Linked DNA regions of Mus musculus. The protein of the gene in region 2 purifies or fractionates together with the protein of the main gene of each other region. This does not show direct contact. Links are inferred from orthologs where the notes say so. Each region holds a gene or a part of one and is shown on either strand. Other genes may lie near its edges. The genes, in order: Nmt1 and Acbd6.

Evidence for each region.
Region 1: the proteins of Acbd6 (region 2) and Nmt1 purify together in Homo sapiens (co-immunoprecipitation; 3 studies listed by BioGRID and IntAct, with this or other methods). This does not show direct contact. The link is inferred for Mus musculus from reciprocal best matches to the Homo sapiens genes ACBD6 and NMT1.

Annotation. Positions count from the first base shown.
Region 1 is NC_000077.6:103,063,014-103,066,828, forward strand, and holds part of Nmt1 (glycylpeptide N-tetradecanoyltransferase 1), read left to right. Parts: intron 1-794; coding exon 795-962; intron 963-1,716; coding exon 1,717-1,854; intron 1,855-2,734; coding exon 2,735-2,755; 3' UTR 2,756-3,815.
Region 2 is NC_000067.6:155,556,467-155,561,020, reverse strand, and holds the start of Acbd6 (acyl-CoA-binding domain-containing protein 6), read right to left. Parts: upstream 2,902-4,554; 5' UTR 2,384-2,901; coding exon 2,162-2,383; intron 1-2,161. UniProt on the Homo sapiens protein: Binds long-chain acyl-coenzyme A molecules with a strong preference for unsaturated C18:1-CoA, lower affinity for unsaturated C20:4-CoA, and very weak affinity for saturated C16:0-CoA. Does not bind fatty acids. Plays a role in protein N-myristoylation.

The DNA.
Region 1 (3,815 bases), on a different chromosome or scaffold from region 2:
CCGTGTCTCTGCCTGGCTTGCAAGCAGCCTGTCTTTTCACATAGCAGGGGCTCCCAGTGCCTCTGAGCCCAAACTCTTTATAATCTCTGAACCATGGGAAGAAATCTCCACGTGGCTCAGGCAAAATCTGTAGCTTGCTAAGAAGCCAGTTCTTCCCAGCTCCTTATCTTACATCATGGCACATGTGTATTCTATTTGAGGATTTCTAATTAATTTCCAATAGTGGGTACAAGCCTGTAATACATTGAACACCATCTGTAGCAGTGAATTGTTACACGGCTCTGCTCCTGGCGGGTGTGTGCGGCTCTGCACCTACCCAATATAAAATCTATATTTTCTCTCTGCTGTCCCAGACCCAATCGGGAGAGTTTACCAAATTCTTACATGTCAGCGGGCTCTAAAGTCTGACCTCTCTGCTTCCCTGTCATGGCAATTCTGCTCCTTCTCTGTGTTTCTCTCCTAGAATCCTAAAGGGTCCCTCTGTCTTTCTGCCCAGCCATTGGATGCTGGCTCTTTATTGATTCAATCAAAAACCAGTTGGAGACAGGGATTCCCAGCGTCTGGACATGTAGATTTTGAGAGCCGAAGTAAGACACAGCATCAGAAGCAATCCCCACGAGGCTGTCCCCAGCCTTAGCTGGTGTGCTGCGTCTTGCTCACCCTCCCCTGCTCCAGTTCCCAGCCAGTCAGCTGCCTGGACACGGGGGGGGGGGGGGGGGGGGGGCGCTCCATGGTCTCTGGGCTGCTGTTCCTTTGCCTGTGTGACACCGCCTGTTTATTTACTCTTCCTTCAGAATGCCAACGGCGAGGTGACTGATTTCCTGAGCTTTTATACACTTCCCTCCACGATCATGAACCATCCAACCCACAAGAGTCTGAAAGCTGCGTACTCCTTCTACAACGTCCACACCCAGACCCCTCTTCTAGACCTTATGAGCGACGCCCTCGTTCTAGCCAAAATGGTGAGGAGCAGACCACTTTCGGGAGATTCGGGGTGGGGGCTTTGTAGTACTAGTGAGCACATCTCAGGACTTAGCTGCCCATAGCGTGGGAAGCCTCAAGCTCTTAGTTTCCAGCTCTTAGGCAAGGCCCCAGCCATTTTCAGCCACAACTCCAGTCTAGAAGAGGGCTAGGAGTCACTCCTTGGTTGGGGCCTGACTGGCCAGCCAGCCTCAGGGTTAGGGTTCTTTTGGCTTTCTGAGCATGGGAGGGGAGCCTGGGATCTGTCCTAGTGAGTGAATGGACGGCTGACTCCAACTGACAGGCATAGTGGTAGGTCTGTCTGTTGTCTACTTGCCTTTCTCATGACTCTGGGGTCCCTCTGTACCAGGCCAGCCTCTGCACAGGCTAGTTCTTCTCCATGAGGTCATCAGGTCAGTTGGGTGAGATTTTAGAAATGTCCTAGTCCTAGCCTCGGGCAGCCTGTCAAGCATGCTCAGTCAGTGCACACTGGGAACCTGGGAGTTCAGTGACCAGAGCTAGGAAGCTTCGGAGCGGACTCCAGGAGGAACGGCCTGCAGTTTTTGTCCACTCACGGAGACACCAAGGAAAGGCCAGGCTGTGGGTGGTCTGAGGCCTGTCTTGGGGAGCGTATTTGGAGAGTGAGCACTAACCAGGATGCCGCTGGAACCTGTGATGGAAGCCTGCCCTGTGGCTGCCTGTAGGCCAACGGGGGAAGGAAGGTAACCTGTTGCCCTTTCTCCTGCTGCCCTGCAGAAAGGGTTCGACGTATTCAATGCACTGGATCTCATGGAGAACAAGACATTCCTGGAGAAGCTCAAGTTCGGCATAGGGGACGGCAACCTGCAGTATTACCTGTACAATTGGAAGTGCCCGAGCATGGGGGCCGAGAAGGTATGTGTGTCACAGCCAGAGGCCGGGCTGTTGGTCAGGGAGCTCTGCTCTGTGGGAGCAGGGCACCCTGTAGTGCTGGTTGCATGTATAGTAGTTCTGGAGCTTGGTCATACAGCCTCACTTATGCTGGTTAACTGTGTACCTTGAAATTTAAAATAAATATATATATATATATATATATATATATATATATATATATATATATATATATATATAAATTCCAGCCACAGTCACACATTGTGACCTAGAACTTGCCATGTAGACAAAGATTGGCCTCAAGTTCCCAGATCACAGAGATCCACCTGCCCTGCCTCCCAAATTCTGAGACTGAAGGGCGTGCCTCCAGACTTTTCTTTTTGGATTCAGGATCTAAGTCTTTCAGGCTGGCTCAATCTATAGCCCAAGCAGGCTTTGAACTTAAGATCCCCCTGCCTCTGCCTCCTCGGTAGCTGGGAATAAGACCTGCACCATCAGGCATGCAGTTTTGAGGGACTCAGAAGTTAACCTATGAGGTTAGGGTCTCTAGATCCACCTTCCCTGGTCTAGGCTGCCTGTCCTGTCTCAGTGTGGCTCTTTCTTGCCCCTTCACGCCCCACTGCAGGGTGGTCGGTCAGGGGACCGGTCAGTGTCTATGACACACTGACCGGGAGCTGCCTTGGAAGCCATTGGCCCAGTGTTCTTCAGGATGCCACCACTGTTCTTCCTTGAAGGAAATAGAAACCCAGCAAAGGCTGGGTTAAGAGGTCTGGGCTCGGCATCTGCCCTCCCATGGCAGACATTTTCCTCTGAACTCAGTAGACCTGACCTACACGCCTGGGGAGGCAGGAAAGTTCCTGCGTATTGTCAACTCAACATGACCTTTCCCCATTGGCTCTCCTAGGTTGGGTTGGTGTTACAGTAACCAGTTGCCAGTGAGATTCTGGATAAAGCCACTGAGAATTCAAACCAGGAAACGGAACCCTTCCACTTGTTGGTCCAACTTTCACAGATGTGAGATCTCTGGCAAACAAAACAGAACTGAACCGGCTTTACCAAACCGCCAGCGAACTTGACAATTATATTGCGATGGCGTAGGCTGCGTGATGTCACCTTTAGCCATGTTTCTGGTCTCCCTATTTTCAATGAATTAACATGCTCATGCAGCCGTGATCAAGGGAATGTAACTGCTGAAACCTAGCTCGTGATTGGCATATTATGGAGTTAACGGGTGAATAATAAAAGTATATATATTATATATATATAAATATTCTAAATATCTTTCATGTTCCAAATGTACAAGGATGTTTGGTCTCTGATGAGAAAGAACTGAATCCAGTCATTCTTCACAATGAGAGCCCAAGGACAGCAGCAGACAGATGTGCATTGCACAATTACTGTCTCTTCAGAAGCGGTGGCTGTTGTCAGGGGCAGCAGGAGAAAGAGGATCTGGGGAGCCTCACCTGTTCCCCTTTGGAATTGGCTGCCAAGCAGGCTTTGAGCAAGGAGGTAAGGTCTAGGGACTGCCAGCTCAGGAGAGGGCTCAGATCTCCAGCATGACAGGACAAGCTCTTAGGGTGGAACTGGCCCTGGGCAGAGGCCAGACTACTGCATCCTGAGACCAGGAAGTGGTGACAATCATGGAAGTAGATTCATTAATCAAGTCCCTCTTCCATCTCCTGGGCCTTGTCCCGGAGGACACTATTCTACCAAGTGATTTTAGAAGGCTTCTGAGCTGGCTGTTGGCAGCCTAACAGGTGTGTGTCCTCTGAGAGACTTTGTCCTCACTGCTTAGGATGGGTGGCATTTTGAAAAGAACTTTGGACCTTTTGTAGAATCTGGAACCTCGTTGAGACCACATGAGCGCAAGCTCTGTCTAAGGCATATTAGAGCAAGGAGGGAGCTGGTATCCCAGGGAGGCTGAGCAGGCGTGGTGTGGCGATGCCCAGGCTGGTGAGTCCCAGCCCCTGCCTGTGCCTTCAGCC
Region 2 (4,554 bases):
TTTTACACAGTTGTAGTGAAAAACCACTTATCTGATTTCCACTTTGAATGGGACTTTTGCTCACAGTAACTTTTAACATTATCTTATGAAATATACAGATAATACCTCAGAGTCATTCAGCATTTCCAAATGTTAACATATTGTATTAGAGATTAGGGAAATTTCACATTCATTATCCTCAACACTTATCTCTGTGAGCATTGGGCAGTTATCAAGCTCGTGGTGGCAGACCCTGCGATTTCCAAACCTCTACTTTTCCTTTGACAACTCAAACATTGCCACTGGCAATGAACATTTACATCTGTCTTCCAGGTTTACTTCATCTTCAAGAAACCATCTGCCAAACACCCAAATCTAAACAGAGTTCACAGAGTTTTTGTTAAATAAAAATGAAGTCTGAGGGGACTGGAGAGATGGCTCAATGGTTAAGAGCACTGTCTGCTCTTCCAGAGGTCTTGAGTTCAATTCCCAGCAAAAGCACATGGTGGCTCACAATCCTGGAATCTATCCTGGGATCTAATGCAGTCTTCTGGCATGCATGTAGGTGTACAAACAGATAAACCACTCATATACATAAAATGAATAAACATTAAAAAAACAAAGAAGTCCAAGGACTTTGTAATTCAATTCTATCTGATTTTCCTCAATTTCCTTAAAATAACCAATGTAATCAGGTATGTAGCAGAAGTGCTTACCTGTTCTTCCCATTACACAACTTTTTGTTTGTTTCGAGACAGAGTCTTACCATGTTGCTCCATCTAGCCTGCAGCTTGCTGTCTTGATCTCATGGAGATAACCTGCCTTTGCTTCCCCAAGCCGCTGGGGTGAAGGGTATGTGCCAGCATACCTGGCATCACACAAAATCCTTGCACAGGGATATCTCTCAGTCCACATCATTACTAGCATGTGCTCATAATAACCATCAGTCCTGTAAGAAGACGTCCTCTACCCAGAATCTCAAGTTCAAGACTACAGGACAGTTCAGTGTGTAGCCAACCGTGCTTGCTACCAAGCCTGACAACCTTAGCTGAATCCCTAGGACCCACATGGTTAAAGGAGAGAGCCAACTCCTGCAAGTTGTCCTCTGACCTACACTGACACACACAAACTCAATAAAAACATAATTAGAAATACAGGAGGGTTCTCATGACTACCTTAAAAAAAAAAGAGTTCAGGAGAAATATATGTAACTATACCATAAGCATTTTTTTATTCTAATAAAATAAAAGAGACTACTATCCAGAACGTCATTTCTTTCAAAGTTCCAAAGAGCTGGGGTTTTCCTATTTTCCTAATCATCGATTTTCTTTTCACATTTGCATCTAGATTCCTTAACTAATCCTGTAAGCTTCTTAAAGGCAGTGTCATGATGTTCTTTCATCTTTGCATTCTCTATAGACAGAACACCCAGTGTTCTGCTGAACTGTATCTGTCCACTGAAGGAAGGCAATAGTCTTTCCTTCTGGTACCTAACCTTGAAAGATAAATTAGTCTTATGTTTATAACTCAAACCTGTCCTTACTTTATCGGGTAAAATTCAGTTTTAGAGACAAAAACTACACTTTAATTCTGATATATCCATGTAACTTTCTAAACTGCCTACTCCCCTGGGTTTTCTATTTGGAAATGAAAGTGATTCAGGAAGCTGAGTGGAGAGTTAGTTCATCACCAGACCTCCATGTTACCTGCATGGAGCCCTTAATTTTAAAAATGTGGAGGGACTATATCTAGCAGGACCAAATTCAGCCAAAAACATAACAACTATATTTAGAGTTCCTAAGAATCATAATAGTAATATTGTTAGCATCTTATACACAGTAATGTTCTCTTAAATTTCAAACTTATTATTAACATTACCATGTTTCCTATCACATGTCCTTCTGGCAACAGCGAATGCCAAATTTTATTTTATCATCCTCATTTTGTAAAGGTTCAGAGGCAAGGCCACTGAAACATTGTCATTCAGTGCCCGGCTACATAAATATTCGTTGGATATCAGAGAGATTATTCCATGTCCAGAATGATGCTATTCTCCAGGGTAAAAAACAAAAACAACAAACACACACATACAAACTTCATTACGCTCGACCATTAGCCACGCAATCTGCTACTAAGTTTTTGGAGGAAACAGCCCACGTCCTCTCATCCACCCATCTTTTACCTGCTTGAACCTGGCATACAGGTACAGGAGCTGCTCCCGGCTGGCTACCTGAACCAGGCCTTGGACGTGTGCGGCAGCCTTCTCAAACAGCTCGGCCAAACTCCGGGTCCCCTCGGCCTCGGGGGTCTGGAAGGATTCCATATCACCAGAGTCGTCCCCGGAGCTCAGTTCCCCACCGCTGTCGCCTGTGGTGGCCCCCGAGGGTAGGAACGGTGTGGCCATGTTCACTAGCTCGCTGTGGCCGGTCCTCCCCGGTGTGGCGCGGGTTCCCGGGCCTGATCCACCGGTCCGGGTGCGGAGCTCGAGCGGGAGTGGGAACGCAGTGAGCTGTCTGGCGGTCTCAGGTGATTCTGCCACTCCGCCTACCCGGGCGCACAGGACCGCCCCGTCCTCCCCCGGTTTCCCCTCGGGCTTCGCCCGGGTCGCTCCAACGGTGCGGGGTCTGGAGGCCGCTCGGCTGGAAGATGAGGGGAAGCCGGCGGCGCGGCGCGTGCGGCTGGGACGGGAGCTGGGAGGTGAAGCGGGGCGCGAGCTCGGCGGGTCGGACGCGCACCCGGGCACGCGCCGGTGGATACGGGGCCCCGCCTGCTCCGCTAGCGTGGGTTGCGGCGGCCGCGGTGCGGGATGGAGATACGGGCCTCGGTGACAGACAGGGGACGTCGCTCGTGGTTTTGGGGGGGACTTCGGAGTCACAAACTCCGGAACTCACCCGGATAGGGCCCCCAGGGGAAAGGGAAGGAGGCGGTCCATTAGTGTAGCTGCTAGAGTAGAGTCGCGGGAAACAGAGAGCTGAGGACAAAGGTTCCGCCGTTTCCTAACCACCCACTCTGACTTAAAATAGCGAGTCACCAACAGATGGAAACCTTCCTTCACTGCCCCACCGTGTGTCTAAATGGTTAGATGACTCTCTCCCATCAGTGTTTTGTTTTCCAAACTTGCTGCCCCCTCATTTCCCAGCGCTTTGAGAGAAGGCATCACCAGGCCCCCAAACCTGCATCATCTCATCTCAGTTGTGCCTCACCAGGCCCCCAAACCTGCATCGTCTCATCTCAGTTGTGCCTGTGCTTCTTGAAGTGAAACCCAGTTCTATAGCTCTGCCGGAAAGGAACAGATCTTTCCACGTCCAGCACACTGTCAAAAAGAAAAAGTGTATGCATACACAAAGTTCATTACGTCTACACGCAGACCGTGTACATTTGCTATCAGTTTTTACGAAAAGCACGTTTTGGTACTCTCTCCTGCAGGAATTTGAGAACCCCAATGTGGAATGTCGCTTGAAGAAACTGCTCTCAGTTTTTGGGGTGTCTCACATCAACTGTGTGTGTGTGTGTGTGTGTGTGTGTGTGTGTGTGTGTGTGTGTGTGTGTGTGTGTGTTGTTACTAGTAGTACTAGTAGTGGTGCTAGTAGTAGTAGTAGCTTTCACCAACCCAAAAGCTAAGAATGTCGTCAACTATCTTCTTGGGCCTGTAGGAAAGTTTTCCCCGTCTCAGTGTTACTGCTTCTCTGTGTACCCGCCAATGTATTTTTAGTTTGCTTTGATTTATGACTTTCTTTGTTCTGTAAAACTATGAAACTGTTTCCACATTGGAACTTGGAATTTGGGGTAACCTAAATTTGTAGTCACTCGAAGTGACTCCAGAATAAACTATTATTTATCTTTAAGATGAGTGTGGTGATTTGAGTAAGAGTGGCCCCAATAGGCTCATATACTCGAACGCGTGGTTATCGGGAAGTGGTACTACTTGTGAAAGATTAGGAGATAGGGCCTTGTTGGAGGAAGTGTGTCAATGAGCTTTCAAAAGCTCAACCCAAACCCAGTGGCTCACTCTTCCTGCTCCCTGTAGATCTGAGATGTACACCTCTCAGCTGCCTCTCCAGCACCACGTCTGCCTTCGTGCTGCCATACTTCCACCATGATGAAAATGGACTAACCCGCTGAAACTGTAAGCCAGCCCCAATTAAATGCTTTCTTTAATAAGAGTTGTGGTCATGATGTCTCTTCACAGCAATAGAAACCCTAACTAAGATAATGAGGGATGTGATTTTGGTATCAGCAGTGGCTAGTATGTTCTAAATATGGTAGAGACACACACTCATGTGTAGTCATTTATCACTAGTAGCTTAAAACTAATAAAAACACTAATAAACATAAGGCTAATAACAAAGAACTACAAAGAATGGTTATTGATTGACCATTTAGGATTAAACTTTCAACAGAACTTTGAACAGGATAAGTGAACAATGAGAAACAGGAAGAAGTTAAATGGCTTGGGTCTGACTTTCACGAACATTCTTTGAGAATAGAGAATGTTTCCACTATTAGTCCCTCCACAAAAGGAAAAACAAGGACAAATGCACACCTTATAACATGCATAGTGGTTTGAATAAAACT